Linked DNA regions of Struthio camelus. The protein of the gene in region 2 binds, or shares a complex with, the protein of the main gene of each other region. Links are inferred from orthologs where the notes say so. Each region holds a gene or a part of one and is shown on either strand. Other genes may lie near its edges.

Evidence for each region.
Region 1: RRN3 (region 2) and UBTF share a complex: the UniProt entries of both Homo sapiens proteins name them as parts of the pol I pre-initiation complex. The link is inferred for Struthio camelus from reciprocal best matches to the Homo sapiens genes RRN3 and UBTF.
Region 3: RRN3 (region 2) and POLR2F share a complex: the UniProt entries of both Homo sapiens proteins name them as parts of the pol I pre-initiation complex. The link is inferred for Struthio camelus from reciprocal best matches to the Homo sapiens genes RRN3 and POLR2F.
Region 4: RRN3 (region 2) and POLR1B share a complex: the UniProt entries of both Homo sapiens proteins name them as parts of the pol I pre-initiation complex. The link is inferred for Struthio camelus from reciprocal best matches to the Homo sapiens genes RRN3 and POLR1B.

What each region holds. Positions count from the first base shown.
Region 1 is NC_090966.1:4,609,040-4,616,702, reverse strand, and holds the start of UBTF (nucleolar transcription factor 1), read right to left. Parts: upstream 3,005-7,663; 5' UTR 2,776-3,004; intron 2,710-2,775; exon of another isoform or gene 2,610-2,709; intron 2,381-2,609; exon of another isoform or gene 2,164-2,380; intron 1,689-2,163; exon of another isoform or gene 1,578-1,688; intron 1,484-1,577; exon of another isoform or gene 1,388-1,483; intron 1-1,387. UniProt on the Homo sapiens protein: Recognizes the ribosomal RNA gene promoter and activates transcription mediated by RNA polymerase I (Pol I) through cooperative interactions with the transcription factor SL1/TIF-IB complex.
Region 2 is NC_090956.1:11,723,194-11,731,020, reverse strand, and holds the start of RRN3 (RNA polymerase I-specific transcription initiation factor RRN3), read left to right. Parts: upstream 1-4,827; 5' UTR 4,828-5,031; coding exon 5,032-5,124; intron 5,125-5,654; coding exon 5,655-5,711; intron 5,712-6,881; coding exon 6,882-6,971; intron 6,972-7,060; coding exon 7,061-7,190; intron 7,191-7,696; coding exon 7,697-7,756; intron 7,757-7,827. Other genes in the region: transmembrane protein 238-like, read left to right, coding at 733-742. UniProt on the Homo sapiens protein: Required for efficient transcription initiation by RNA polymerase I (Pol I). Required for the formation of the competent pre-initiation complex (PIC).
Region 3 is NC_090942.1:58,570,728-58,578,711, forward strand, and holds the start of POLR2F (DNA-directed RNA polymerases I, II, and III subunit RPABC2), read right to left. Parts: upstream 3,008-7,984; 5' UTR 2,933-3,007; coding exon 2,913-2,932; intron 2,758-2,912; coding exon 2,688-2,757; intron 2,471-2,687; coding exon 2,340-2,470; intron 717-2,339; coding exon 645-716; intron 166-644; exon of another isoform or gene 54-165; coding exon of another isoform or gene 11-53; exon of another isoform or gene 1-10. Other genes in the region: C1H22orf23 (UPF0193 protein EVG1), read left to right, coding at 3,485-3,596, 4,000-4,062, 4,597-4,785, 5,258-5,392, 6,604-6,704, 7,017-7,121. UniProt on the Homo sapiens protein: DNA-dependent RNA polymerase catalyzes the transcription of DNA into RNA using the four ribonucleoside triphosphates as substrates.
Region 4 is NC_090944.1:147,740,607-147,748,316, reverse strand, and holds the start of POLR1B (DNA-directed RNA polymerase I subunit RPA2), read right to left. Parts: upstream 3,004-7,710; 5' UTR 2,873-3,003; intron 1,939-2,872; 5' UTR 1,861-1,938; coding exon 1,771-1,860; intron 1-1,770. UniProt on the Homo sapiens protein: Catalytic core component of RNA polymerase I (Pol I), a DNA-dependent RNA polymerase which synthesizes ribosomal RNA precursors using the four ribonucleoside triphosphates as substrates.

The DNA.
Region 1 (7,663 bases), on a different chromosome or scaffold from region 2:
CTTGGGGGGGGGGGGGGCGGGGGGAAATCCATGGAGCACCGGGCAGGGATCACCCAGCAGCGCAGGCCCGAGGCCTTGGGGGGGGGGGGGGAACCCGAGCTGGCGGGCAGTTTTGGGGGTGGGGGGGGGCAGGCCCTAAGGGGGAGTGATGGACCATCCCCGAGGGGGGGGGAAAGAGAGGGAGGATCACCCCCGGAGGGGGGGGGGCTGGAGGGGGTCACCCCCCCCCCGGGCAGAAGCCCGGCCCCGGCGGCAGTGGGGGGGGGGGGGGGGCTGGAGGGGGTCACCCCCCCCCGGGCAGAAGCCCGGCCCCAGCGGCAGCGGTGGGGGGGGGGGCTGGAGGGGGTCACCCCCCCCCCGGGCAGAGGCCCGGCCCCAGCGGCGGCGGCGGGGGGGGGGGGGGCTGGAGGGGGTCACCCCCCCCCCGGGCAGAAGCCCGGCCCCAGCGGCGGCGGCGGCGGCGGGGGGGGCTGGAGGGGGTCACCCCCCCCCCGGGCAGAAGCCCGGCCCCGGCGGCAGTGGGGGGGGGCTGGAGGGGGTCACCCCCCCCCCCGGGCAGAGGCCCGGCCCCAGCGGCGGCGGCGGGGGGGGGGGGGGCGGACCGCGGGGCGGGATCCCGGCGGGGCGGGGCAGGGGGGCGATGCGCGGTGCGCGCGCACCGGGAACCGCGGGCGCGGGGGGGGGGGGGGGGGGCGCACCGGGAACCAACCCCCCCCCCCTTCCTCCGCGGAAGGAGTGTGTGTTTGGGGGGGGGAGGAGGAGGAGGAGGAGGAGGAGGGGGGGGGGGAGGAAGGGGCCGGGCCGGCGGGCGGGCGGAGGCGGGGAGGCCGCACATGCCCTGCGCCGCCGGCCAGCGCCGAGTCTCCTCCTCCGCCAGGCAGCAGGAACCGGGTGGGACCCGCGCGCGCGGGCGGCCCCGGCGGCGCCTCCCTGCCCGCCGCGGCCGCGGCCCCTCCGCCCGCCCCCGGCCGCGCCGCGCCGCCGGCTCCCGCCGCCGCCGCCGCCCGGGCGCCAGCGCGCGCCGCCGCCGCCGCCGCCTCCCCCGCCCGCCGCCCGCCCAGACAATGGAGCGGCCCCGGCTCCGGGCGCCCCGCGGCTCCGCTTCCCCCGGCCGCGCCGCCCTGCTCCGCGCTGCTCCGCTGGCTCTTCCCTTCCCCGCTCCGCTCCGCTCCGCCGGCCCTGCCCTTCCTTCCCCTGCGCTCCGCTCCCGCCCCCGGCCGCGCTGCATGCGGCCGCCGCTCCGCGGCCCCCTCCGCCGCCGCCGGGCGCTGCAGCCCGCTGGGGCCCGGGCAATGCGGCGCGGCTCTGCCCTCCCTTCTCTGCTGCTGCTGCGGTTCCCCCCCCTCCTCCTCCTCCTCCTCCTCCTCCCTCCACCCGCCGCGGTTACCGGGCTCGGCTGGGCTCGGCTCGGCGCGGCCGCTCTCCGCCGCGGCACACAATGGCCGGGCTGCGCCCGCCTCCGCCCGCCGTTCCGCGCCGCTCCGCGCCGGGGCGCGCCGCGCCGCGCCGGCTCCGCCGCAGCCCGCCGCCCTGGGCGCTGTGCAGCCGGCGCGGTTATAAAGCCGAGACAAACCCACCTCCCGAGGCTCCGGGCTGCAGGGGGAGGCGGGAGGTGGTGGTGGTGGTGGGGTGGGGGGGGGGAAGAGAGAGAAGCTCGCCGAGCCGCCGCAGCCCCAGCCCCGCCGGAGCCGCTGGGGGAAGAAGAAGGAGGAGGAGGAGGGGGAAGGGGGGGCGGGGATGCCCGGCTGGGGGCGGCCGGGCAGCTGCAGCGAGCCGGGCGAGGGCAGCGCGACCTCCCCGCACCGACCCCCGGGGAGCGGCTCCTACCCACCACCCCCCCCCTCCACCACCACCACCACCGCCGCCCCCTCCTCCTCCTCCTCTCCCCCCGACCCCTCCTCGCACGGCGGAGCCCAGAAACACCCACCCACCCAGCGGGGGGCTGGAGCCCCGCTCTCGGTCCGGGGGAAGAAAGGAAGAAAGAAGGGGGGAAAAAAAGACAAAAAAAAAAAAAAAAAGAGGGGAAGAAGGGGGAAAAAAAAAAAGAAAAGAAAGCGGGGGAATAAAGCGGAGGTGGGGGGGGGGAAGCGGACGAGCCCGGGCACGCACCCTCCGGAGCGCGGCCGGGCGGCGCCGAGCTCCCCGCCGCGGCGCGGGACTCACCCGGGCTGGGGAAAAACAACCGCCCAGCGCTGGAAGCCTGCCCCCGAAATCCAGCTGCAGCAGCCGGGGAGGGAGGGAGGGCGAGCGGGAAGGAGGGAGGGAGCGAGGAGGAGGAGAGGGAAGGAAGGGAAGGGAAGGAGGAGGGGGGGGCACCGAGGCCGCCGAGCCGAGCGCTCCCCCCGCGCCGAGCCCCAGCGCGGTGCCCCCCGCCGGCCCGGCCCGGCGCGGCGCGGCGGGGAGCGAGCGAGCCCCGACGGCGGCGGCGGCTTCCTGCCCGCGGGGCCTGCGCGGCCGCCCCGGAGAGCGGAAAAAAAAAATTTTTTTGAAAAAAAAAAAAATTAACAAATCTAAATCAACCTCCTCCCCCCTCTCTCCTCCACCGACACCGCCACAAAAATCTTCCCCCCCCCTCCACCTTCGCTGCGATCGGAGCGGCGGCGCCTTACCGAGAGCCCGGTGCGCGGCGGCAGCGGGAGCCCGGGGAGGAACAAAGCGCCTCCTCCAGCCCCGCCGGCGGAGCGGCGCGGCGGCGAATGGCGAGCCCGGGCGGCGCGGCACGGCACGGCGCGGCGCGGCGCGGCTCCGCTCCGCTCCCCCGGCGCACGCACGTACCTGCGGGCCCGCGGCTGGGGCCGCGGCTCGGCGGGGCCGGGGCTCGGCGGGGCCGGGGCGGGGAGCGCCGGTTGAACGGCGGCCAGCTCTGCAGCGCTGGCCCCGGGCGTGGACGCGCTCCAGTCCCCGCAGAGAGATCGCGCTTCCCCCGCCTCCATGGCGCTGCGTTTCTCTTCCAATCAGCCGGGCTCTGCGCGCCGGGGTCCGCCGCCAGCCTCGCCGCTCCCCAGCGGCGCCCGCCGGCCGCCGCCGCCCCGCGCTCCCACCGCCGCTCACTGTGTTTTTTATTGCTCTTTGCTTTTGCAACACTGTAGCGAGAAGAAAAGAGGAGGAGGAGGAGGAGGAAGGAGAGAGGAGGGAAGGGGGGGGGAGGAAAAAAAAAAATCTCCTTACATGTGCAACAATCCTCTCCTGGCGTTTGCATAAAAAAAAAAAAAAAAAAAAAAAGGGGGGGTGGTGGTGGTGGTGGTGGTGGGAAGCGCGGGGGGTGGGGGAAGCCGAGCCGCCTCCCGCCCCGGTGGGTCCCCTCCGACCCCGCGGGTTGCCGCTGGGCCACCCCCGGCGCCGGGCAGCGAGGGCGGGCAGCGCCCGGCGTTGTGGCCGCGCTCCCGGCCCCGGGCGCCCGGCCGCCGCCGCCCGGGACACGGCCACGCTCGGGGATTTCCCCGGCGGGGCGGGCGAGGGGCAGTTTCCTCCCCTCCTTCCCTCCCTCCGCTCCCCTCTCCCTTTCTCCTTCTCTCTCGCTCTTAATTTTTTTTAATGCAATTTCTCCAACTCCACCTTTGTTGTGCTGGGCGTCATTCCCCGCAGCCAATCCCGGCCGGGCAGCTGCCTGCAAATTACCGGCCATCCCAAGCTGCCTGCAAATTACGGGCCATCCCAGGCTGCTCGCACACTACCGGCTGCCCCGGTTTGTCTGCGCCTCACCGGCCACCCCGGCGCTCGGCGCCTTCCCGGCCGTGCCCGGCCACCCCGGCGCTCGGCGCCTTCCCGGCCGCGCCGGGCCGCTGGCGTGCCACCGCCGTTCCCGGCCGTCCTGCGCGCCGGCAGCTCCCGCCGGCACCTGCCGAAGGGCTCGGGGGGTCGGGAGCTGGTGGGGAACCCCCCCTGCCCAGGACCCCGTGGGATAGGGAGGTAGAGCCCCGCCGCTGCAACCGCCGCGGAAATGCCAGCAGGCGCCTCTCCGTCCGCTCGCCTGGGAAATACAGCCAAAATCCGGCGGGTTTTTCACCGCTCTCTACAAGGAAAGGGGAAAAACAGCCCCCAAGTGCAGGTGCAGTTGGCCCCCTCCCAGGCTGACGCAAGCAGCTTATTCGGGCCTTGTCTTGCAGGCGAAAGTCGGAGGCGGAAGAGCAGCCGGCCAAGCTGCCGGCCGGCCCCTCCGCCGGCTGCCGCGCTGCCGCGCAGGCCTGCTCTCCAGCCGGCACGGCCGCCGAGGCGTGCCAGGCGGCTCCGCGGAGCTAATCCCTTTGGCCAAAGATTAAAAAAAAAAAAAATACGTATATATTTATCCTGCGTGGAAAGGGCCGCTTTGCTGAGCTGGTTTTCCTGTTCTAAATTAGGTGAAATGTCACTGTTTTGCAAGAGGGGGAAAATTACCAAAAAAAAAAAAAAAGAAATCACAGACAATCAGGCCAAACATTCGAACGCTGGCATTTTTAATCTTTAATTATTTTTTTCATCTCTCAAAGACCCATTTGAGTGGAAAGCAGCTTTCAGAAAGCCTAGCAGATGTCTCACCTCAACAACATGCCCGTTTCCCCTTTTTATTTTGTTTTATTTTTAAAGCTCCCACGCCGCTGCAAGCCGACGATGCCTCCTAACCAAAAAGCCATTTTGGATGGGAAACTCCCAGCTAGCTCTAGCTGCTGCACAGCTAGCAGTGATCAGCAGTCACGGACGGCCTGAAACGCGGTTATATTTTTTTGCTACCAAAAAGGGAACGTGAGGCGTGAGAACAGGCCGTAAAAACCTGCAGCAGGTTGGCAGAAACGGAGACGCCGCACAAACACCTGCTCAAAACGCTCCCCTCCTTGCTCTGCTGCGCGCTCCTCCGCGCCAGAGGACTTTCTGCTTGCAAAGGGAGTTTTTAATCGCTGTTATTTGTACACGTGGGTATTCTTGCTGCCAAAAGCACAAAGATTGCATGCGAAGGTGCGTGCAGGCCTGCAGGCTCTTTGCTGCTTCTCCCGTTTTTGGGAGGCTCCCGGCTTTCAGAGCGTTTCACGCCGATGCTGCGGATGTTGGGCCACGGCTCCGTCTGCCGTCAGCGGGCGCTCGGCCGGAGCCGGGTGCGAGCCCCTGCCGCGTGATGCAGGCCCACGGGCTCAGTGCCGGCGCGGGTGCGCATCCGCGGCCCCGCGCCGCACCGGGCAGCTCCGCGGGCAGCTCCGATGCTGCAGAGGGGTTGCACCAGTCGGCGTGAAAAATTGCTAGCGGCAGCACACCCAGGTGGGGAAAAAGGCGGTTTGGGAGGCGCAGAGCTGCTGACGGTGTCCAGCACGGCCGGCCCAGGCGAGGGACGCCGGCCAGCGGATTTGCCGGCCCCGGGCTGGAAAACGCTGGCCACCTACCTCCATCTGTCTCCGGCCGTTTGCAAAAAGCGGGAACGGCCGCGTCGGGTTTAGAGCCGGTCTGGGAAAAGCTGGGTGTAGCGATGGGTCCCGCTTAGCCCTGGAGAGCCCTCGGGGACCCCAATGTCCTCCCCAAGGAAACGCTCGGACCCCCCCCCCCCGCAGCCCTATATCTAGAGCTGGGGTGCAGGCAGCTGTCCTGTGCCGCCCTGCTTGCCATCGCTAACGAGATTATGTATAATCAGGGTTAATTTGATGCCGGAGCGGTCTGCACCAGGGCGGGGGGTGGGGGGGCTGCCATCGCCATCTCCACATCCAGGCTGCGCCGTGACCCTCTCGGCCACCCCGAAACCCGCCGCCAGGGCCGCCACCACCGCCTCCCCCCCGCCGATGCCCGCCTCGGCCTCGGCCCCCGCCGCGCCACCGCTCCCCCCCCCGCCGCCCGCCGCGGCCTTGGCAGCCGGAGCTCTGCACATGCGTCCCCGGCCGCTCGGGGCGGGCGGAGGTGGAGCGTGGCCGGCGGGAGGCACGGCCCGGGGGGCCCCGCTGCGACGGCGGGGGGGGGACCCCACGGCCACCCCGGCGGGGCGAGCGACCCCGGGGCAGCAGCCCGGCGCGCGGGCAGCGGGCGCTGCTGCAACGCGGGTGCTCGCGGCCGGGGAGGCAGGAGAAGGCCCCGAAAAGGGCCGAGCGGCGGCGAGGCCCCTACGCGCCCGCGGCCCCGCTCCTGCCCGCGGCGGCCCTGGGCCTTGGCTGCCCTCCCCGCTGCCCCGGCGCCTCTATATTTGGCGGCTCCCAAGGTGACCGGCGGCGCGGCGCCGCTCTGCCGGACCGCCCCGGGCAAGGGGCAGCTGGCCCAGCAGCCGGGCTGGCAGGCCCGCGGGGGACCTGGTGCGGGGACCCCCTCGGCCAGGGCGAGGGGTGCAGGGACCCCCCCCAATGAGGGTGATGGGCTGTTCTCTGACAGCAGGACCAGTGCCTCGCAGTGTCCCCACTTGGGACCAGTGCCTCCCAGTGTCCCTGCCTGGGACCAGTGCTGCCCAGTGCCCCCGCCTGGGACCAGTGCATCCCAGTGTCCCCACCTAGGACCAGTGCCTCCCAGTGCCCCCACCTAGGACCAGTGCATCCCAGTGCCTCCACCTGGGACCAGTGCCTCCCAGTGCCCCCACTTGGGAACAGTGCCTCCCAGTGTCCCTGCCTGGGACCAGTGCCTCCCAGTGCCCCCACCTGGGACCAGTGCATCCCAGTGCCTCTGCCTGGGACCAGTGCCTCCCAGTGCCCCCACTTGGGACCAGTGCATCCCAGTGTCCCTGCCTGGGACCAGTGCTGCCCAGTGCCCTCACCTGGGACCAGTGCTGCCCAGTGCCCCCGCCTGGGACCAGTGCTACCCAGTGCCTCTGCCTGGGACCAGTGCCTCCCAGTGCCCCCACTTGGGACCAGTGCTGCCCAGTGCCCCTGCCTGGGACCAGTGCATCCCAGTGTCCCTGCCTGGGACCAGTGCCTCCCAGTGCCCCCACCTGGGACCAGTGCTGCCCCGTGCCCCCACCTGGGACCAGTGCCTCCCGGTGCCCCCGCCTGGGACCAGTGCTGCCCAGTGCCCCCGCCTGGGACCAGTGCCTCCCAGTGCCCCCACCTGGGACCAGTGCTGCCCCGTGCCCCCGCCTGGGACCAGTGCCTCCTGGTGCCCCCGCCTGGGACCAGTGCTGCCCAGTGCCCCTGCCTGGGACCAGTGCCTCCTGGTGCCCCTGCCTGGGACCAGTGCCTCCTGGTGCCCCTGCCTGGGACCAGTGCTGCCCAGTGCCCCTGCCTGGGACCAGTGCCTCCCAGTGTCCCTGCCTGGGACCAGTGCAGCCCAGTGCCTCTGCCTGGGACAGCGCATCCTGGTATCTGTTCGCCCTGCTGCTGGCCCTGGGTGACACAGGTGGCTCACCGGCCAGCGGGGTCCGAGCCCTGTTATTTAGCTAGTCACAGTGTCTCTGAAGAGGCTTTGGGCCATCTGTTCCCAAAACCGTCCCCGCAGCCCCTGCTTCTGCCTGGGTGAGCTGGCACCCAGAGGGCACCTTGGGGACATGGCCAGCACCCGCAAAGGGCCCCAGCAGGGACAAAGGATCCCCACAGGGATCCTGAATGCTGGCAGGAGCCAGGCTTCACTGTCGGACCCATCTGCTTGGCGGGGTCGGGGGCGAGCACACGACGCGAGCTCCAGGTGGGAGCCGCGGCAAGCAGCCTGGGACCACCGTGGTGAGCAGCCTGGGACGGCCACGACAAGCAGCCTGGGACCACCGTGGTGAGCAGCCTGGCATGGCCACGACAAG
Region 2 (7,827 bases):
TTTTTTGTCACTTAGATAATATGATGATTCTTGTCATTACTGATGTTTAAAGTTATTAATGGAATACTGCATGCTGTTCTGCTTTCCTATCTTAAAAAAATGCTATAACTATGATACAAGAAGGGTGAGAAGATTTATCAAGATATGGAATGAATTCTATTAAAGGAACAACAAATAGATTAGGATTCTTGAGCCTAACAAGAGTTGAAGAGTAGGAGATATGCCAGAGGTCTTAATCATAAGTGGCATGGAAAAGGTGAGCAGAGAATGATCATTTTACTACCTCTTCCAAGACAAAGCATGCACCAAAGGAAGAGTCAAAACAACAGAGATAATATTCACATGCTATGCAACTAATACGAAGAATTACTTGATATGGGATAATGTGACTTGATATGGGATAATTCAAAAAGCCAAGAGAAAAAAACAGAAGAGACGCGAAGCTCTTTAGCTCAGGAAGACCCAGGACAGTAGGTGGAAGCGAAGATAATATCCTGAGGAGATACTACTAGCTTGCCATGTCCTTATGCCCTTCTTTAGACGTCCACTCTTGATCACTGTTGGAGACGAGCTACTGACTTGATGGGTCTTTTATTTGACCCCAGCTGGCTGTTAAACTTGTGGAAAAGTACTTTTCAGGCTGACTTCAAATAATAGTTGAGAGTTTTATATGAGTATTTATTCTAAGACTATTTGGAAGTAACTTTTTTTTTTTTAATATATTATCTTCAGGATCTGCTGAAGACACGACTGTTGAAGTTACTGCCTCTAAAAGTGGGGGAAGTGTTGCAAATTGTGGAAAGAGAATAACCCACTTAATGCAATAGGATTCTTTCATTATGGAATAATCTCTGTGACCGTCATGGACTCTGTATAAAACGGACACACAGTCACGTATCTCTGCCAGATGTACCTATTTCAGTGTTGGACTGCATAGTTTTTATTGTATTTTGCAACATTTCAAAACATAAACTAAATCTTTTAAGAAGTGAGAACTAACAAGGAAACAAACCTGATTCATAGAAAAATCACTGCAACATTTAATATAGAAATACTTTTTAATATACCCAGGAATGTTTGGATGAAAAGCTCTTGCACTGTCTTACCAAGGTCTGGAGTTCAAATTCACTGTGAACTTTTATGATGCCAGTGCAATACTTCTATTTGTAAAGTGCTTTAAAAATATCTATGTAAAACTATTGAAGCAAAGTTACAAACGTAGCATAAATTGTTTATAGTGTAAATACACAATTTATTGTGACTCTTAATATATTTCGTCATCTTGGAATAACTTAGAATTTGAAATTTTGTAAGTAACAAGTAAAAATAGTGTTGTTGAGATACCGTTTTTTTTTTTCTTCATAGCAGAAAATGATGTAATATGATCGCTCTAAGAGGAGGCTTTTTAATCCATTGATGTTACAGGAATTATTTTTCTAGTGCTGAAACATTCAGAAATCTATAGATTAACAAATGCTTTGCTTTACAAAAATCTTACCAAATCTACATGCAAACGTAACTGAAATTAGAACTAGCACGTGGGAAAAGATTTATATTACAGCTAAAGACGCGAGAAATCAAACACAGGAAATTCCACTTGAACGTAAGAAAACACTTTGAGTGACTGAACAGTGGAGCAGGTTGCCCAGAGAGGTGGTGGAGTCTCCATCCTTGGAGGTATTCAAACCCGACTGGATGTAGTCCTGGGCAACCTGTTCTAGGTGACCCTGCTTGAGCGGGGGTTGGACCAGACAATCTCCAGGTGGCCCTTCCAGCCCCAATTAGTCTGTGATAATTGTGCCTAAAAATTCTGTGTAGGAGAATTTCCTAATGAGTTCCTCTGTTTCTGAACTAACGCTAAGAGTTTGAACTTACCATTAGCAAATATGGGTAGGTCTTCCACTTCTAATAGACAACTGTTTTTATGCCACACCTAACTGAATATAGAGGTGGATTTAAGGAAAACATTTAGTAGGAAAACAGTGGCTCTACTTCCTTGTGAACTCTTGAAATGTCTTCCGACTTTCTGTTCCAAATAATTTGTAACTTTCTCTTGTACCTTTCTATGCATAGTCAATTTTAAAATGTTTTCCAAATGCTTTCAATCTTTCAACAAGTTTAAATAGATGCTAGACTTGAAGGTCTGTAAAATTTCAATTTCTTCCTTAATAACTGTAGCTTTTATAAGGTATCTAAAGTTGTTTCCTTTTTCTTTTAGAGGAACTGCAATGTGACACCAATATGTTGTTACAATGTGCTGTTTAAATAATCTCCTTCCCTAAAAACCTATAGATCATTGTTTCAGGGCTGTTCACAAGAAACACGTTCATTTACTTGTTCTGAACAGAGGTAACTGCTTGTACTGATCCCCCATAGTTTTGATCTGTGAACTGAATTATGAGATGTAATATTTAGTAAGTGGAATGATGAGTAGCAGCGATAATTTAACCCAAAACTTTTGTGGGTAGCCGTTCTCCTACTTACTGTAGTGATTAATCCCGAATCCAGCATTGGATACCCAGTGATAGTTGTGTAGGATGGTAGATAGAATATTGCCTGTTGTTGCAACCCCACTCAGCAACTGTGAGGGATTCCGATGTTTGCATTTATGAGTAGTCTACTGTGCGTGTCTTAACAGTTAAATATAAGAGTTGACACCTCAGAAAAGAAAGACCCAAGTTAATCATAGAAAAACACTTAAATGTTACTAGTAGGATGTGTCTAAATAACGATAAGATACAACATACTTGCATGGGAGCAATGATAACTATTGTAAGCTATCATACTTTTATTTTTTTTGAAAATGTAAAATAGTTCCTGTTTAATGTGGTCTATTTTTTATTTCCTAAATAAGGAAGACTGCAATAGTAAATAGAAACCAGCAAGTCAAACAATGATTAACTGTTAAACATTAGCATGTATTTAACACTATTTGAGCCTCCCAGGATCCTTATCAGTTGTAGCTCAATGCAGAACGAAGTCCATTCAAAGAACTTGTATCTTGTTTATGGGAGGAAAAAAATTACTTGTTCATTGTTAGGATTGCTTGTACTTCTGTGAACTCTGAATTTTGCATATACTGTGAGAATTCTTTCTAGACTTAAAGGACTGTCCTTACTCTATGTTTAAAAACAGCCAAAATCCGAAAGAACCCAACTCTGGTTACAGAAGTTTGGTTGTACAGGAGTTTTTTTTATACCTGCTTTACGCCTTAAAGCTTAGCTGAAAAATGGCATCCTATATTCCACTTCCTTACATGATAACTAAAGGAAAAAAGCCAAACCCTGATCTTGTAACCATAAATGAGTGAATGTTTGTTAGAATCTTGTATGTGGGCTACATCTGAAGAGACTTTTAATGCAATATATGCTGTTTACTTTCCTTAAACAGAAACATCTTATGAAGGGACAAATTAGTAAAAGTTAATTTATTAGTAAATTCTGCAAAAATCTCTTCTGTTTGATTTTTGTTTGATGGGTGTATTTGGGGGGGAGGCGGGCATTTGGTGGGAGGGAGATATTTATTCCAGTAGCAGTTCGTGTCGAAAGCAATAAGCTGCAGAAGAGAACAAAGGTCAAATAATCTCATGTTGCTGTAGCTGTTTTACATGTATTGGAGCAGGAAGCATTCAGCTGGATTAAAAAAAAAGTTTTGAGCAAATTGAATGTTACTGAAGAACTAGATGGAAAATGCCTGCTTCCTATTCATATTTATCCTGGTTGCTCTGAAAGCTATTGGAGGCTTTCACGTATAATTCTTTTTGAATTATATGTGCTGCTACGACCATTAATAGTATCAGCTGGCGTCTATCAAAAACATGGCCTTTGAAATAGCAGCAGCTAATGATTTTCTCAACAGCAATTTTTATATATACATATTGTTTTGAGAGGAAAAGCAGTTGTTAGCATAGAGATAGAAAAGTCCATAGTTTATTTTATATCATTCTTCAAATGCTGTGCTAGCAGTGTGGTGCTTTAATATAGCCCTAGCTTACAGGAAGAGGATGAAAAAGCCCAGAAAGCTTCTCGAAACTCTCTGCCTGTCCCTTTGCTCTAACAAACGCTTAATTGCTTCCCAAGGTCAAAATTTTTTTTTTTTAACTGAATTTTTCAGCAATCTTTAATCTTGAGTAAAAGGGATCATTTGACAGTTTTTTTTTTCCCTTGTTCTAGGCCGTAGTAGCACAGCTTACGATAAAAAAATAAACTTGGAAAAGTCTGAATTTACTAGCTGGCTGTTGCAATCTTGGTATCGCCAGCATGGGATCTCGATGTGCTTTGGGATGTGGGGACTTGCGACGGATCTGGCCAGTTCTCAGTGCAGCAGCTCGCAGGTCATCTCGTATTTCATGTCTTCAGGTATACACATAAACAAAAAGTCACTTGGCCCCAAATCAGAGATGCAGTTCTGAATGACGGACGGTGACATTGACATGACCTTGGAATTCTCTTTCCCTAGGCAATTCTCAAGTCTAACACTGAGCTTGAGTGTTTACTCGCACTGCTCTTTAATACCTTCCAGCTGTGAGTATTAAATGTCTACGACGGTGTTTACTTACCCGCAGGTATAGAAGGGAAAACCTAAGAAAACGGGGGCAGTAGCGACAGCGTTTTGCCCGGCGGGTATCTCCCCTGTCCGCTCGCCCCGGCCCTGCCGCCCCGCCCCCTCAGTCCGCCCGCACCAGCGATGCCCAGGCCAGAGCAGCAGCGGCCCCTCCAGCCGTGCCGCTCTATGGTGCGAGGGGCGGAGCAGCCGCCCTTTCCGGGGAGGCGAGCGCCCTTTCCGCCCGGGGCCGGCATGGGGCGGCGGCAGCGGCTGGCGGCGTGCGGGGGCCGCGGCGGCCGGCGCCGCCTCCGCCGTTAGCGGGGCGCGAGGCGAGGCGGCGCCGAGGGGCGGCGGCGGCGGGGGCGACGCACGAGGAGGTGCTGCCCCGTCTCCTTCGCGACCCGGGGGGTGGGGGCCGTTGGGACGCGGCCGTTGGTGCCGGGCGCTCGTGCGGCGTCGCCTCTCCTCAGGCGCGGGCCTGTGACCATGCTGGGAGGGGACGAGTTCATCAGCTCCCCGCCGAGGAAGACGGTGCGGTTCGGGGGCACCCTGACGGATATCCTGCTGAAGTACGAGAAGGTGATTATCGCTCTCTTTTCCCCGTCGTGGATCGCGGACGTGCTTGCGCAGCTCTTCGCCGCCTTTCCGTCGCGTGTGTTGCCATCCTGTTAGTTTGCGGCACTTAATTTGGACATGAAGACTTAGTTTGTCTTACACGAGAGGGTGTCTGGTGGCGTAGGAAAAAGAAGGTAGCTGAGTGCTTTGGGCATATGCCAGACTGCGTTGTTCTCTAAGTGAAACAAATTCCCCGACGAGTCTGTCTGAGTGACGCCTTTGATGGCTGCAAAGTCTGACTGATACCAGAGGACGCCAAGTGATCGCAACTGCCTCTATAGGGAGAGGAGCAGAAACGACCTGATAGCTAAAGCTGCCCTTCAGGGAGAGCGTTCTGTTACTTCTGCTTTACTTGAGCTTTCTCAGTTATTTGTGTCGCTGCTAAACAATGTCAGCTTGTTTAGATGTGCTGATGAAGCTTAGGTTTGTATTTTCTGGCACAAGTCCATAAACATCATTTGCTCTTTTTTTTTTTTTCTCTCTCCCCCTACTAGGGTGAAACCAGTGATTTTGAGTTGTTAAAGCATCAACTGTCAGATCCAGACATAAAGGTAAGCGTTTTTGTAGTGAAGGGTCTGATGACCTAAAGCTTAGTTACAGATGTGAGTGTAATCATCGGGCAAGTGATTCTGGTGTTTAAAGCAGTTACTGTTTTATTATTATTAATGGGCTTATTGCAAGTAGATCAGTTTAGAAAAGTGCCTGTCACTTGCCTAAATACTTTCCTTTAAACATTTAGCAGCATTTAACAGCTCTTTGCTTTGTGGGAACTATCAAAATTGAAAGTCCAAACAAAAAGCCAGCAACTGTCTGTTTACACAGAGACATGCATCTTATATGCATGACCTTGATAGGTATTCAAGCGACAAAAATGTCAAAAGCGACATTTACTATTTTTGTGCTCTAGAGTGGGAAACTTTTTGCTTTGTGCCAAGGGCCTGTCGCTCTATGTATGGATTACTTTCGTAGATCAGTCTGTTGTCTTTCCTTCTGACTTTTACAGCCTCTAAGTTACATTAATGTTTACTTCCTTCAGTTCTTATTAAATGTTTAATTAATTAGGCAGTGAGATGCATGTACATTTAGCGTTTGTACCCAGAAGTATTGTTTTAAGAGCTGCTCATTACAGCCATAAGTACCCATCCTGTCTGCCATCTTTGTTTCTTTTTTTTATTAAACCACTAAACTATAAGAAGCATGTTGCAGCAAGTATAATGCCAAATTGAGTTTCTCCTCTTTTTAAAGAGGATGTTGTGTAAAATTAATTGTTTTTAGCAGACTTTTCGGAGACTACAGGCAAAATCAATGTAATATTTCTCTGTAGATCTGCTGCTGTTCCACTATCGCTCTTATTTCAAGACTTGGATGGCCTTTCTGCTTAAACTAAGAGCAACAAGAAAAGAAAAGAGAATTAACATTCTCTGAGCTCCATCTCTTTTAAATATATTCTGTTTAAGTCCGGTTTGCATCCCTTGCCCAGACTTTAAGTTAAATATTTCAGGCAGGCTGTTGCTTTGAAAGATGCTATGCATTTATTCTTGCGTTGAAGAACTTTTATTAGTAGGGAGACAAACTTAGTCTGAGAAATTCTTGTCACATTAACGTGAAAATAATTCCTATTTACAGTCTTAATCTTTGTTTTGTCATTTTAAGGTTATTTTCTAGTAATAGGTCATATTATTTATTGAAATTGTTACTTGTTTTTTTCTGTTTATTTTAAGGATGCCCAGATCATTAATTGGCTACATGAATTCCGAGCTTCTGTTGCATACTTGACCAAAGATCTTGAACAACTGGTCAACATTTTGCTGGTAAATATCTGTTTGCTATATGCAAAGATTAAGAGTTTAGTACTTAAAATATCTCTGTGTTTGACATCTTCATCTTTACTTGCTTTCAGAAGCTGCCGTGGTTGAGAAGAAGCCGAGATGTAGTTGAAGAATATTTAGGTTTTCTTGGCAATCTAGTGTCAGCACAAACTGTCCATCTTAGGCCATGCCTCCGCATGATTGTATCGCAGTTTATTCCCCGTAAGTTACTTTTTTTAATTCTTCTTTACTGGCTTATCAAAATGTCTCTTTCCTAGATTAATTCTATTAGAAAACTAATCCATGCTAGAATTAATCCAATTATCATTTTTTTTCTGTTGATTCCTTTTTTCACTTCAATGACTGAATCGGAACACAGTCCATTTTATGTACCTTAGATTTCAGAACACACATTCTAATGGCTAATACAGTCAGATACCATTTCTGAAAATGTCTTGGAGAGGGGTGAACTGTATTATGTTGTTATAATTGAAAAAACAAATGCTGAGATGAAGATCATGTCAATGTTTTAGAGAACCTTCTGGCTCTATGAATAAAACAGTTGATTGCAATAAGCTGAATAAAAAGTCAATTATAGAAAGTCATGGGGATAATTTTGATGCTTTAGTTCCAATGAAGTCTGTCATCCAGTGTACTTTGATTTGGCATCAGAACTGTTACCTATACGATTTGTATGGTTTTACAATAATAATCTCACTTTTTGCTAGCTCGGATAACTATCAGAGAGGATGATGTGGACATTTCAGATTCTGATGATGATGAAGAAAGTGAGTATAAAGGAAGCATGGGTTGTGTATACTATTGTACTACCTTTAGTAAACAAGTGTAGCGTGCATGT
Region 3 (7,984 bases), on a different chromosome or scaffold from region 2:
ATCTAGTAGGTCACTGACCATCTTGGTGAACTGTGGACCAGCAGGGAGCTTTGCTGTGGAAAGGTGGGCCTGTAAGTAGTCATCCAGAAGCTGCCTCTCAGAAAGGCTATGACTGTATTTCATCTCTATGCAACACATTCTGGTAACCAGATAAGATTCCCTAACCTGGAGGCAGGAAGCAGAGATGAGTCTTTTGCAATCACAGTAAGCCAAGCATGGAAGGGTGCAGGAGAAAAACATTCTTAACATGGCCTCCACATCACAAACCTGACCTTTATTTTATTTCTGCCAGCACTCGAACATAGGTTTGTTAGGAAGGCTGCTTTGCATCAGCTCCTTTCAGGGAATTAAACTGATTCCAGAAAGATGGAGACGTGGGTTCTCAAGGGAATAAAAACCACTTGGACTTCCAAGTAAAAGAAGTCAAAGTACTGCTAATAATCAGTACTTTGCAAGAGCTCCTAGCATGGGACACAGCAATACCCAAGCTACCTGCAGCTGGGGAGCGGTCCCAACAGGGGAGAGGGGACAGCGACTGTAATACTCACTGTTACAGAGTGAGTGCACAACCTGCATAGGATAAGCCGCTACATGCTAGGATGAGTAGGACTGCTTGACACCCACTGTCAAAATCTGAGACTTACTTGAGTTCTTTCATGGCAATCAGCAAGGGGTCTGTCTCTCCTTCCAACTCCACCATCACAGGGGCACACATCCTGAGTGGAAATAACAACAATCAAATAGAGAATACGCAGAGATGGAAGAGGGATAACTAAGCACGTTATCTATTATGTCTTTCACCCAAAGTTCAGCAAAGTAGGAGGGAGGAACAGCACCTTGGCAAATCCAAGGTTTGCACTTTTATCCACTTTGGGAAGAAATGTCCCCCACTCCAATCTTGTGGTGGCAGGACTGCTTTCACTAGATGCAAGTGGCTATGGACTGAGCTTTTACTTGAATGTTCTTCTTGACCCGTCCCTCAACTGCAGCTGGGGCTTCACAGCTGGTCAAAACCACATCCTCCTGGAGTCCCCCTGGACTGTACATAAATGTGAGGAAGGAAAGAGCAGTTCTAAAATTAATCCAATAAGGAGAGTGGAAACACTATAAAATGGGCATGCCATCTACAGTTCCACCACATTTCTTACTTCCTGACCTGATCTTATTTTCCAGGCTTTACCTGGGGTAAAGTAAGAGGCTGGTTTTATGACACACTATCTCCAGGAAAAAAATAAAGCACTTCGCAGGAAGTTTAACAGCACAGCCAACATGGCTGACTATTATCTGTCCCATTAAGCAACAGCAGCAAAGGAAGCTCACGTTATGTGTGGATAAGGCCACTGGGGGCTGCTGCTGGCCTAGATTCGGTGTTGAAGGCAGAGTAAGTAGCGAAGCCCAATCAGGCACTAGAGCATATGGATTAAAGGTCTGGCACAGACCCATCTCATCTCTCCCATTTTTCTGGCCTTCTACCAGTTGAAGGAATGTGCACAAAACAGCCTCACAGAGTGTTGACTGTGCAAAGAACAGCCTGGCAAAGTGATGACTAAGGAAAGATCTGATCACCACCTACGAGCTTCTAAGTGATATGAAGGAGAAGCATTATTTTGAGAGAGTGCACATAACTAGGATAAGACTCAGAGATGCCTTTTCAGACAAACTTTACCACAGCCTAACAACCTCTTTCCTTGCGGGGCAGTCTTCTGACATGCGTTATTCAAATAGATCCAGAAAGGTAAATGGAAGATGTCGAGAGCAGCCAGCTTCAACAGCACTTAAAATAAGATTTAAGTACAATTACAAATGAGGTCCCATTGATCCAAACGCTGTAGAAACATATAGCTGCAATACAACTGCAGTCTAAAAAGAAGTTGAGATCATTACTCTTAATCCCTACAGCCCTATGAGATCAACTGAAGACATTCTGGAACTTTACTCCCTCAAATCTTGGCTTTTGCTAGCAGATTCCGAGCTTTCCAGCACAGACTGGCTCATCTTATGAAAGGCAGAAATCAGGATCAGCCTATCACATCCCTGTTCTTTTACCTATCACATCGGAAGGTGCACTACAACTGCTGAACACCTCCCTTTCTAGACACAAGTACCATAACCTTAGCTAGGAAAAGATACAGAGATTTCACATGGGACTAAGCACTCAAAGGCTTTGTTTTTCAGTGTCGGCACAGATGGTGGTCCACTAGCTCAGAGATCACATGAGGAACTTCAACAGCTCCAGGATACTTCCAGGAAAGAGAAAAGCAACTTAAATACAGATGGGAGACCCTAGAAGCCCGCAGGCCAGCCACGGTAACAGCTGGGACACAGAGCAAAACACTTACGCTATCTGGAGGGCACGAGTGCCCAGGACTCGGGCTCGCTCATACTTGGTCATGTAGGGGGTGGTAATCCGCTTCTGGTTTGCCTGCTGACGCTCTCCAGACGGGAGGATTTCTACATTCTCCTGCCCTTCCTGGGAAAAACAGACCAGCACAGCAGCGTTACTGCATCCAAAGAGCAGCACAGCCAGGCTTTGGGAAAACACATGACGCCTTTAGGGCCTGAAAGACAGGCTAACCAAGGGTTTTCCACAGAGCACTGCCAGAAGACCTGCGAAGAAGCCCAGCAGCTCCAAGCTGGCTGCGCGGCCGGCAGCCCCGGGGAGCGGCTGCCGCCGCGCCTGCACTCACCTCCTCGGCGTTTTCCAGGTCCTCCAGCCCCTCGTCCTCCTCCACATCGTCGAAGTCGTCGCCATCAAAGCTGCGGGTGGACACGGACGTCGCACAGCGCCCTGGGCCGCCATCGCCTCCTCCTCTCTCTTCCCCCCCCCCCCGACGGGGCCCCCTGTGCCGCCCGGCCCGGCCCCCGCAGCCCCGCTCCGCCCCCAGACCCAGCGCCACCGGCCCCGCGCTCACTTATCCTCGTTGTCAGACATGCCGCCTCCTCCGCCTCCTGCCAGGAAGTAGCAGCCACTTCCGGCGGCCCGCCGTGACGTTACCGGAAGTGAACCGGCGGCCCCGTTGCCGTGGCGACGAACCGCCGCGCTCCCCCCCCCCGCCCTGCCCGTCCCCTCCTTCCCGCCCGCGCGTCGCCATGGAGACGGGAAGAGGGTTTTTTGTGGGTGTGGTTGTTGCTATTGTTTTTTGTTTTTTTGTTTTTAATTGGCTCGCTGGGCTTCTTCCCCTTGTGGCGTTAGAGTGCCGCGCTGTGACGTCAGGCTGGGTCGCGCCTCGGAGGGAAGGTGAGAGGGCCCGGCGGGGTACGGATGCCTCGCGGGCAGCGCCTGTGACGTCACCTGTCACCACGCAGTCCCTGGAAGGGCAGCGCCTGTGACGTCACTTGTCACCATGCTCCCTGGGACGCTGCCGGAGTCCCCGGGGGTGCAGAGGCTGCGCGACGGGACCCCGAACGGCCGGGCCCGGCGGCGAGGCGATGCCGTTGGGGACGTTCGGTGGCCTTGTCTCGCTGCTGTTCTCAGGGCTTCACGATGGCGTCCCGGGAGAGGAGGAGGTCAGCGCCAGCTGCGGCCAAAGGAGCTCACTTCTGGCACCCTCCTGGGACAGCTCAATACAGCCGGGAGACCCAGGAGCTGCTGAAAGGTAACGGCGGCGGGGGGGGGGGGCCTGAAGGAAGTGAAGAACCAGAGCGTTTGGATCCGGTTATTACTGCTTCTATATAGCAACTGTGTGGTCAGTTTAAAAAAGAAAGTCTTTCCTGAAATAAAACACTCCCCCTAATTCATCCCCTCGAGGGAGAGCTGAGAGAGAAACATACAGAGCAAGATGCTAGACCTGGCAGTGAACGTATCTATATATGAGCGTCCTGGTGTGATGTTTCTGAAATTGCAAAATAATTTGATCTTCCCCGCTTTGGATTTTGATTTGTAAGTAGAGATTTTCCCCAGGGCTGATTTACCAAGCCGTTTCACCTGTCCTAGCTGCCAAAGGTGAAGAGTGGAGCCTTCTCAGGCTGTAGTCTTCACAGATGCGCCATGTTTTTCAGCAATGATGGAGGAGTCCAAGCTTACAAGTTTCCAGAGGCGGCACCTGATGGACTGTGTGAAACGTGAGTAACATCCATCTTGCTCTCCACCCTGTGCTGCTGAGTTTGTGTTGCTCACCATGAGACGAAGAACGTTGGCCTGCAGACTAGGTGGATGGGCAAGAAACAAATGAATGGGCAGTACTTGGGAGGAAGTCATGTTCTTGTCAGCATCAGGTCCAGCCTAACTCTCCTGATCTCTGTTTTCATATGTTGTAGTGGAAACTGTTCTCATAGAGAAAACCGTCCAACCTTGGCCTGCCTCTTCCTTTCATTGTTGTACTTTTGCCTTTAAAATAGCAGTAGAGCTGCTGCTGACATTGTGCTGGGCGAGGTGTCCCCAAGGGTCAGTCCAGCGAAGAAAACGTAATGGTGGGACTTGAACCAGTCTCGCTCATGTCCGAATGAACCAATAACTGGGTAAGACATCTGTGGTACTTGGGATCTTTGCTCACTGTACTCCGGTGGATCACTAGGCAGACCTTCTGCTGGTCCAAGGCCATCAAGCCATAGGCTCCTCTGTGTCCGACTTACCAGTATTTTTCCTTTGACCTCCAGGAGGAGATACCCTGCCCCTCCAGTGCAACCCCACATCCAGCAAAGAGCCACAGCCTGCAGAGTCTGCCTTCTCTCCCCCAAAGCTTTGTCTGCCAGGCAGGCTTCCAGCTAAACCACATCTTCGACCTGCCAAGATCTGCCAGGCAGGAGATGCCTATACCAGAGAGAAATTCAAACCACAGGCAAGGCGTAAGTCAGCAAATGTCACTAATAAATAAATCCTGCTGCCCAGTCCCTTACATCCATGCGCTGTTTGCCATCTCAGTAACCTTAGGGGGGTTTCTTAGTTGCTCTTCATCCTCACGCTTTCTGTCTTCAAAGATGCATAAAAAGAGAGCTCTGAGGGAACATCTGTAAACGCTCGTTGCCAACGCCTGCTTGGTTAGGAAGATGATAGGTAATAGGAACTCATGTGATCCTTGCCTAAGAAGGGAATACTATATATATTTTCCAGTTTATAAATGTGAATCAGACCTTTGATGTCAGTTTGGTTGCCTCTTCACTGCAAGTACATCTGTGTAGGGCTGCGCAGTTCAGTCTGGAGATGGGCTGTCATTAACATAATGCTTCCTCTGCCATCATTTGGAGAGAAGCAATGCGGCCAGGCTCCTTCCCTGAGGAGACAGGCTGCTAATAGTTTTCTTTTCTTTGCAATTCACAGGAGATTTGGAAAGGGAGAAGCAAAGACTCCAAAATATCTTGGCGACAGGGAAGGATGTGGTGGAGCACAAAGTGAAGCCGACGCTGGTTCAGGCGAAGGAAGAGGAGACACCTGAGCTTGACCGCTTTGAAGAACGTATGTAAAGGATGCTAGAGTGAGGCACATGGGGAGGCCTGGGAACTCAGCTCCCTCTAAGAGCTGGAGTGGCAGGCCATGTAGCCAGCAATCTGAAGCCCACTGCGGAAGGAGGCACAAAGCCCAGTTTCCAAGAGAAAGGACTTTTTGCTGTGACACTGATCCAGCTTTCCTAGCAGAATTTATACTGCAAAGGTTTGCTGACAGAGTCACGCTCTCTGGATTGCCCATACAAAATCAACTCTGTTGGCACAGGACTACCTTAGCGGTTTGCAAGGGTAACCTCGGCAGAAAGCCCAGCTGCTGTGGATCCTTCTTCCAGCCGGTCTAACTCCATGTAGACTAGGACTTTTGCCAGCCTCAGTGTGGCTTGGGCTGCATTTTCTTTTGCTCCCAAATCAGTGCAGTTACACTAGCAAAGCTTAAATGTAGAGAAGAATTTTAGGTAGTGATGTACTTTGGCCTACAGAGTCTTCTGGGATGGCAAAACCCTGCCTTCTATAACTCTGTGTGCCTGAAACTGCAATGCATGCATGCACCCCAGCTAGCTCTTCCTTAACCAGGGCAGAAGAAAGAATGACAACACGCAGATAATGTGTTTGCAAGGGGTGGTTTGGTCCCTGATGCACGGAAACCAGCGTGGTTGGCTCCACGCGTGCTTTGGATCCTATAAAACTTGTCTCAAACTCACTGTTGTCCTTGACACATCTAAAGTACTCGTGTACTGTGCCGTGTCAGGTGTTGTTTCAGGAACTGGCTGCGGGTCTGTGCTGCAAAAAAGCAGCTGAAGTGCTTCTGTGCATGAGCTGGTCCTGCAACCAAATATGGTTGTGTGTGGTTACTTGGTGCTGCATGTGGACTAGTGAACCTCAACAGATTTAAGACGATTTCTATCTCCATCCACAGACTGGATAAAATGCCTGCAAGCAACAGTGTTGCCTGCACATAAAAAACTAGAAAGTTACTGTTCTGGCAAGGTAGAGAAAGGGGCTGGGGGCGTGGGGGAAGTACTCCTGTTACGTAAAAAACTGCTGAGATGTTTTGGTGACATGGTGAAGATAATTGTTAGAGTAGATATCATCCTTCCCCTGGTGGGACCTCCGTTCCAGTGGAGCTAGGAAGTTGGGGGTTCAGAGCTAAACAGAAAAGTGCTTGCTTGCCTTTTGGCTGCATTCTGTTTGCACGTTATTTTCTCTTCTCCTTGGGCTTAGTGGTGAATGAAGTTCAGGAGAGGAAGGAGTTCCTGGCAGATATGGAAGCTTTAGGACAGGGCAAGAAGTATCGAGGGATTGTCCTCACTGAAATCTCACAGGTACGTGAGGGCCCTGGGGGCATTGGTGCTACAGCATGTAGAGGGAATCCGTGGTGTTAGAAATCTGAGCCCTCTGATAACCAAGCGTGGTGCATGGGAAAGACTGGGAAGAGGCAGAGAAATGAGCGTTCTTTTTCATGGCACGGGGCAGGTGTGAATTTAGGGGACTGGGGGAGAGGGGTTTTCAGCTTTTCTTTCCATGTCTGCATGTAACTTAGTCTAGGGAAGAAGAACCTTTGTTCTTGGCTTTGGCAAAAAAAAGTAGGAGCTCCTGGCATGCTCACCACTCAGGCCTTTCTTTGCGCTTTGCAGAAACTGCGGGAGATGGAGATCATTGACAAGAAGAGAAGCAAGGAAATGAGAGAGATCGCAACAAAAGACTTTCCCATTGGGAACAAATCTGATGGCCATGACTAGGCCCAGAAAAAACACCGGAACAATTTAGTCCCAGGTCTTCTTCCCTTATCATCTGAGTCTTAAGGACTGGTCTGTGTCTGTCCGTCTCTCAAGGATCCCCTTGAAGAGGGGGCAGTAGCACCTGCTGCCTAAAGCCAGAAGGCAGGAATAATTTATGCACAGCCAGTAACAGAAGAAAGCTGTTGCAAAATCCTACGCACGCATCAGATCCCTTCTGCAAGGGGCAGTCTTGCTCAACAATATTAAGGAGAAGAAAACATAGAGGAAAAGCCTTTAAAAATATGACAAAGCAGAGCCTCCTTTTCGCTATGCAGTGCTGCAGAGCACAACAATTCACAGAGAAAAACGTCACTCCTTTTTTCCATACAACCCAAAGCCCGGCAGTTTCTATTGACGGTGAGACGCTAACACGAGTGTCACTGTCCACATCTATGACCTACTTCTGTCTGCATCGCTCTGGGAACGGCTATGCTGGCAGGTGGCAGGGAGGAAGATGCAGTGTGGCCTCATGCAAACATGAACTTCTAATATTACTGTAGTTCTGAGTGAGTGTGTGCATCAGCAGCAGTTAAAATAGGCAGGCACTCAGGAACACAGCTGTGCTGAGGAGGGAGAAGGGATTTCAACTCAGGGCTTTCTGCTCTTGCTGTGAGCAGGCTCGCTGTGTTTTTTTTTTTTTTTTTAGTTCTATCTGCTTTTTAGTAATACTCTTTAGTCAACCACTCCCCAAAGCCAGGCAGCACACCCTGTCCCTGGGACAGCGTGTGTGCAGAAAGGAATAAAACCTAAGCCATGATCGGTTTTTAACTCCAAGGTTTTATTTCTGCTCAGGTAAAGGGAAATCACAGAGTTAGTACAGTGTA
Region 4 (7,710 bases), on a different chromosome or scaffold from region 2:
AGAACTGCTAGTCAGGTGAACAAGTCTGAAAGCCTAAGTAGACTGTTTCAGCTACTGCAACAAAGCAGCCTAAATAAACAAAGAAGCCACAGGATAGGAAGGGAGACCTCAGAAGTCAATACGTGGTTAAAGAAAAAGTGGAAGAAAACCATAAATGCTCAATGGAAGGAGATCAACAGTAGAGACTACAGAGATCTTTCCTAAGACTGGACCATTTGACCTGTTCATAAGTGATTTGAAAAGTGAGAAGGAAAAGACAGTTTGCTTAGGAAAACCATTTATTTACAATAACAAGATCTGACAGAGGCTTTGCAGAAGGCTCCCTTGACTGTAAGAAACGAGGTGACAAAAAGCACAGTGGAAAAAAACAATCTTAATTTTATGTGTAGAACGACGAGCTCTAAGGGAGCCACTGCCACTCAGAAAAGAAATCTTGGCATTACAATATGAAAACACCAACTCAAGAGAGTAAATCAAGTCTCAGGAACTACTAGGAAAGGGAACAGAAACGTTACTGTGCCTCTGTAAATCCATGGTGCACCCTACATCAAATCCTCAGCACAGTTCTGGTCTCAAGCCTAAAGGATGACCAAAGATATGGCTTCCAATGGCTTCTGCGCGAGGAGCTGCCACAAAGACTAAGACTGTTTAGCTTGGAAAAGCGAGAACCTCAAGGGGGATACGATGGAAGGACATGCAATTAACAGCAGCATAGTGAAAGCAAACAGGGAATGATTATACACCGATTCCCGCTGCGCAAGAGCAGGGAGTGGGAGAGACTGAACAACCAGTCCAAGCACAAGGCAATACTTTCTCACATAAGGCACAGCCAAATTGTTGGGCTGGGACCGTCAAACATTTGCACAGATTGAAAAAGCGAACAATCTTAGGAAAGAAAGAAAGAAACAATGAACGTATGAAAAAACAACAGCAGCAGCCACTGGGAAAACGTCTGCAAAGAATCTGTGCGACTGCCCCACTTTTATGTTCAGACAAGATACCGCACTTAGAGTGGCTTTTACCATAATAAATGGCAACGATTCAGAGAAAGGAGGAAAAAAAAATAAGCAGAAACTGCACACAATCGTTCTCTTGCAAGAGACCCATGCAAATTTACACCTTGGACAAAGCTACACAATTTTAGTGGCAAACAGCAATGGTCCTCTGATGCTTTCACAACGCAAGGGAAAATATTTGCCAGGGATGTTTCTCTACTCAAATTTCAGAGCAATCTGGAAAACCGATGAACACGTGATATGAACAAAAGGGATTTATAAAGCTGGGCTTTTACACCAGAGCAATACTGATTTTGAAACCTGGATTCCTGTAGAAACAAGATTTGGATTATCCCTTTCTCTGAGGTTAAACAGGTCTCCTTCCAAGATCTTCTGAGCTGGCTAGCTGATTTCTACCCAAATTTGACAGCAGGAAAGGGAAGATCATTAAGGTCCTACGAAAAAGGAGCACAGAGGGGAAGAGATGTTTTAAGGGCTCAAAGAGAAGAAGCTTTTGCAGTGGGCTCATACTTCATCAGAACTCGAGACTCCATACAGGACACAGTTCTGCCAAGTACCTGCAAAGCAGGTGAAATTGGAAAGTGATCTTTAGCCAAAGTACACGCAAATTTGTGGAGAAACAAGCTTCCGTTAGCTTTGCTCTTGCGGAACTAGTGATGTCATGCTACCGTACGTAATGATGTAATATATATCAGGCCCTGGAGAAGAACAGCGTACTCCCTGCGAGCCCCAATGCTTACAGCTCAACACTTACCATTATTTTCCCCCGATACGTGCTTCGGAGGCCCCTGCACTCCGCCGGGTAAACCTTCATATCCTGACAGATGGTCCCTTTTGGCACCATTGGGGGAGAGATGGAAACTCCCACAATAGCCAGCGAGATGCGATCGCTTTTGAGAGCAAACTCCAGCGGCTGGAGGTCCTGAAACAGACACGCGAGGGCGGTCAGGCTCCCCAGACGTAGGTCGGGGGCAGCACCCAGAGCGGGGGCTGCCCGGGGAACAGGGCGCCCCCGCTGCGACCTCTGCGTCCCGCCAAGCCACCCGCTGGCCCCGGCCCCACACCCCCGCTCCCCTGACTCACCTCGCCCTCAGCCACCCCCAAAAGCCAACCCCCGGGCCCTCGCTGCTCTACGCCCGTCCCACCTCGGCCCTCGCTTGTCCCCCCCAGCCACCCCCCGCCAGCCCCCAGTGGTCTCCCCCCACCAGCCATCGCCCCCGACAGCCCCCAACAGCCTCCTGCAACCGCTCCCCGACGGCCCCCCCAGCTGCCCTCCAACGGCCCCCCGCAACCACCCCCAGCGCCGCCCCCTAACCGCCCCCAGTGGTCCCCCCTGACGGCCCCCAATGGTCTCCCGCAGTCGCCCCCCGACGGCCCCCAGTGGTCCCCCCCACCGGCCCCCAATGGTCTCCCGCAGTCACCCCCCGCCGGCCCCCAGTGGTCTCCCGCAGTCGCCCCCCAACGGTCCCCCCCCCTACCGGCCCCCAATGCTCTCCCGCAGTCGCCCCCCGCCGGCCCCCAACGGTCCCCCCCCCCGACGGCCCCCAACGGTCTCCCGCGGTCCCCCCCGCCGCCCCCCGACGGTCTCCCGCAGTCACCCCCCGACGGCCTCCAATGATCCGCCCCCCGACGGCCCCCAACGGTCTCCCGCAGTCGCCCCCCGACGGCCCCCAATGGTCCCCCCCCCGCCGCCCCCCGACGGTCTCCCGCAGTCGCCCCCCGACGGCCCCCAATGATCCGCCCCCCGACGGCCCCCAACGGTCTCCCGCGGTCGCCCCCCGCCGGTCCCCCCCGCCGGCCCCCCGACGGTCTCCCTCAGTCGCCCCCCGCCGCCCCCCGACGGCGGCCGCCCGCACCTGCACGGCGCGGTAGACGCCCTCGCTGATGGCGTAGTTGAAGGAGTCGAGGTGGGCGCCGGGCAAGTCGCGCCGGGCCTCGCCGCGCGGCCGGTAGCGCGGCCGGCGGCGCAGCCGGTGCCCCCCGCCGCCCGCCGCCATGCCCACCGCCCCCGCGCCCGCCGCCATGCTGCCCGCCGCCGCCGCGCTGCCTGCTGGGATGCGGCCGGGGGCGGGGCTGAGGGGCGGGGCCGCATCCGCCCCGCCCCCCGGCGGACGCGCGCGCGCGCACCCCACGTGTGCGCCCTCCCCCCTCCCCACCCCGCCGCGCATGCGCCCCAGGGCCTGACCCACGGCCACGTGCGCTCTGCCTGGGACCCAGAGCCGTGTCCCCCCCATTCCTGTCCCCCCCCAGCCGTGTCCCCCCCATTCCTGTCCCCCCAGGGCTGTGTCCCCCCATTTCTGTCCCCCCCCAGCCGTGTCCCCTCCATTCCTGTCCCCCCAGGGCTGTGTCCCCCCATTCCTGTCCCCCCAGGGCTGTGTCCCCCCATTTCTGTCCCCCCCCAGCCGTGTCCCCTCCATTCCTGTCCCCCCAGGGCTGTGTCCCCCCATTTCTGTCCCCCCCAGCCGTGTCCCCCCCATTCCTGTCCCCCCAGGGCTGTGTTCCCCCATTCCTGTCCCCCCAGGGCTGTGTCCCCCCCATTTCTGTCCCCCCCAGCCGTGTCCCCCCCATTTCTGTCCCCCCCAGCCATGTCCCCTCCATTTCTATCCCCCCAGAGCCGTGTCCCCCCCAACTCTGTCCCCCCCAGCTGTGTCCCTCCATCTCTGTCCCCCCTCCAGCAGTGTCCCCCCCATTTCTGTCCCCCCAGAGCCGTGTCCCCTCCAGCCATGTCCCCCCAGGGCCATGTCCCCCCCCAGCTGCGTCCCCCCCATCTCTGTCCCCCCAGGGCTGTGGTGCCCCCATTTCTGTCCTCCCAGAGCTGTGTCCTATGCAGCTCTGTCCCCCCATTTCTGTCCCCCCAGGGCTGTGTCCCCCCCAGCCACATCCCCCCAGGGCTGTGTCCCCCCCCGAGCCGTGTCCTATCCAGCCATGTCCCCCCCAAGGCTGTGTCCTCCAGCCATGCCACCCCCGGGGCCGCGTCCCCCGGAACCACGTCCCTCCAGGGCCGTACCCCCCAGGCCGTGTCCCCCCTGCCGCGGGCGACCTGGCAGCGGAGGCGGGGAAGCTCTGGCCCCCCCCGGCCGCAGAGGCGGCACAGCACTGCACACCCAGTGCTGCAAACTCAGCCACAAAACCTCCAAATCACCCCCTCCCCGGAGCGAGAGGCAGAAACGCTCATGGCGGGGGCAGGCAGGAGCGTTTCCCAGCTGCTGTGCCAGTGCCGCGAGCCCCGGGACCCGCTGTCCCACGGGAACGCCACAGCCTCTGAGATTTCCTCTTTTTAATGGTGGTTTAGGACAGATCTGAATACAAACGCTGGAGAACCACGCGCCGCTCGGGGTCCCGCCGGCCGTGTACACACTCGCTCGTGCGACAAGTGCTTTGGAAACAAAAACTGGAGCCCGGGAGCTCTGTATGTCTGCCCCAGCCACGGCCTCCGGTCCTTTCAAAGCCTTTCATGGATTTCTGTGGACTATTGTGGCTGACACCGATAATGACACACAAGCATTAACCTACTTACAGCACGGCATCGCTCTCCTAGCGGAGAGCGGCACTTGGAAAACAGACAGGCAAGCAGTCCCCAAGGGCTTGGACCACAGACAGGCAAGCAGTCCCCAAGGGCTTGGACTACAGCAGGGAACGGGAGCCGGACCGCTCGGACGAAGGTGCTTTCGAGCCTGTCGGACAGCCCCAGGGTTTTCCACAGGCTGCGGCCGGCCACGGGATTTCAGTGGGAGCCCGAGAGCTGTCGCTCCGCAGTCACAATTAATCTGGTATGAGAGAAGCCATATGGGAGTTAAGTGAAGCCCAGGCTCCGGCTGGACCAGACCCTGCTGCAAAACACAACCGGAGCATCTGGGTCTAAATCCTTTATGGCTGGACTGAAGGGATACAACTGCTAAGACTATGGGCGGGCTCCTCCTGCAACCCAGCACCATCCTCTGTCAAGGCTTAGGAAAGAGAGCAAGACCTTGTCTATTGACCTTTAAGCTGAATCAAGCTAGAAAACATTTATTTTTGCATTTTTTTTCCTAAAAAATAAAAGTGTGCGAGCATCACTTACAAGGTGCCCCCACGGTCGCAACGCTCAGGCCTCAGCCGTATCCATCTCATTCTTTGCTCCACCTAACAAATAATAAATGGGGCTAATAAATTGGGCAAAACCCTAGGTACCGCACTGGCCGTCCTTTAGCGTTTACCTCCTGGGCTTTGCTTGGGGGAAGCACTTTGAGGGGAGATGGTGAGTGCTCACACATGGTACCCAGTGTTTTCCTCTAGAGGCTGTTGCTTATTCAGCAAACAAACCAATGATTAAAGAGTCCCTGAATCACTATCTCCCCAAAATCCAGCTGAAAAGGCAGGTTATGAGTAACTGCATCACCTGGGGCCATTGTTTTACCATTGAGTTGAAGCCCTGCTTTTAGCTGAGCAGCAGAAATAGCCAGTTGGGGACGTATCTCAATGCAACCTGAGGCGAAAAAGGGCGGAGGGAAAGGCCTTGGAGTTATGCAGAGGTTCCTGAGTCACTGCTCTTCCTGGCTGTATCAGCTGTGCTGATAAAAGATGCTTCTCTTCCCTGCATCCGGGCTGCTTTCCTAGCCTTATCCCACTACATCGGCAGGGATCTAATCTTACATACGCTCAGGAAGGGAGCGTTTTGGTTTCTGAATTCAGGGTGAAGGGAAAGTAAAGAGGGGTCTAGGACCCCAGGGATTTTTCATTTCCTTATGACGGGTAAAGTTTTCTCACTTCATACCTGAGGAGCTCTGGTCTGGTCTGGTGTAGAGCTTGTGAGAGTGCAGTGTCTGCTCAGGCACGTTCTGGACCAAGGCTATTGCTATTAGATCTTGCCTTTGCTGGGGGAAAAAAAGGTGCATTTTTAAGCTCACGGTAGCTACTATGTGAAAATGTCAGTGGAGACCTGTTGAGCTGGCAGCTCTGCGAGTCACATGAAACACCTGTTACAGCCTACATTTTACCTGGGACTATTAACACTATGCTTCGGGCTGGTCTGCAGGGCAATTTTCACACCTGTGTGCTATCACGAGATTAGGACACCCAAACAGCCCTTCCCTCATACCTCCTTCTCCCAGCTTATGACCCACCATTCCCCCACCGCTTTCTGGCTCATATGAAAACACAAGAGGTCCAGTAAAGCCAGAAACTGGACATGGTGCTCAGGGCATTGCTGGAAACAAAACCACCCACCAGCAAGTGGAGTCCAGGCGTCCTTCGCACGCAGCCTGGAGAAACAAAGCAGACACCCTGTTCACACGCGGCTATCGCTCCTCGTCGCTTCCCAGCGTGCAGCAACCGAACTGCTTTCCAGCTCCAACGCACCTTGCGTCTGCCAAACGCCATGCAGACTCCGCTCCGTGCGGCGCTTCAGAGCGTTGACGACGGGCTTGCCTGGCCTTTCGGGACGCTTCCTCTCTGCAACGCTTCTTTTGGGCTTTGCTAACCACTCTGTTCACAGCATGCTGCAATGAATGTCTGTCCAGGTACAGCATGACCAAAATCCATCACTCCGAGGAGGGGTGGGCACTTCAGTCCTGCCGGCAGGATCACTTGCTTACCAAGCGCTGTGCTGGCAGGAAGACCTCTGAAATCTCAGCCACGACCAAAGGTGAGTATGTCAAAGCGCCGGGATCGTTTGTGGGAGGCAGAAATCACACTGCTTGATTCACTTCCCATTAAACGCAGGCAGCCAGAAGCTTGTAACCTCCATGATCTCTTCTTGTTTGTTTTGCTTTGGGTAACACGAACAAGGTCTGTTTTATTTCATTGACAACCATCTTTCCGTGCAAGAGCCAAGAGAACATGGCCCTGACCTCGGCAGCACAGCCTGCTCTCCTGCTGCAATTAAAATCCCCAAAGCTTCAATTTTCCATGATGCTTTCCTGTTCAGTGTTGGAGCGAATCTCAAACAACCCACATCGGGCAGTAGTTCTGTGTTGCTTGCACAGGTGCTTATCTGTCATCTGCCCTTAACCATGATTAAAAACACGTAACCTAAGGTACATCCCCACATCACGTGCAACGTGCGTAAAGAAACTCCAAACTCAATACCACCGATGCGCAACCCAAGCTTTAATGGGGAGCCTGCGAGCGCTCAGTTCTTTGCAGACACTGCTGCAGCCTCCTAACAGCGAGACCTAATTGTTAAGCTTTGCGCCTCTGTTCAGAAAGTTTGGGACACAGCACAGGCCACACGCCACCTAGCAAAGCCAGCTGCTGTCATGAATGCCACTGTGCTCTGCAAAGAGCCCTGGCTTAGGAGAGACGCGCTCTTTGGGTTTAGGCTAAAAATTTGGGTAAACCGAATATTCCAGGAATTTAGGTTACACTCAAAACAGATGTTAGTTCAGAAATTCAGGGATCTAAAGGAATTTAACCTCCTTCCCCCCAAAATGCCTGCCCTTCCCAGCTGTGTGGCAGATCTATAGACAAGCAGTCTCTCGCTTGCTCTACAAAACCTCATACATCTTCCCCCCAGCTGGGACAGAGCAGCAGATTCCGTTCAGGGTAGAAAAGCACAATATCTGTTGAACGACGGAGAATAAAATTGGCTGGATCAAAAGGAATAAAAATCGGTTGGGCTGAAAGGTTTTACTTTTGAGTCTCAAATGTATTAAGGTGGAAGCTGAGAGAAGAGCCTATATTCACTGCAGTGTCTCCAAAGAAGCTTTCCGAGAAG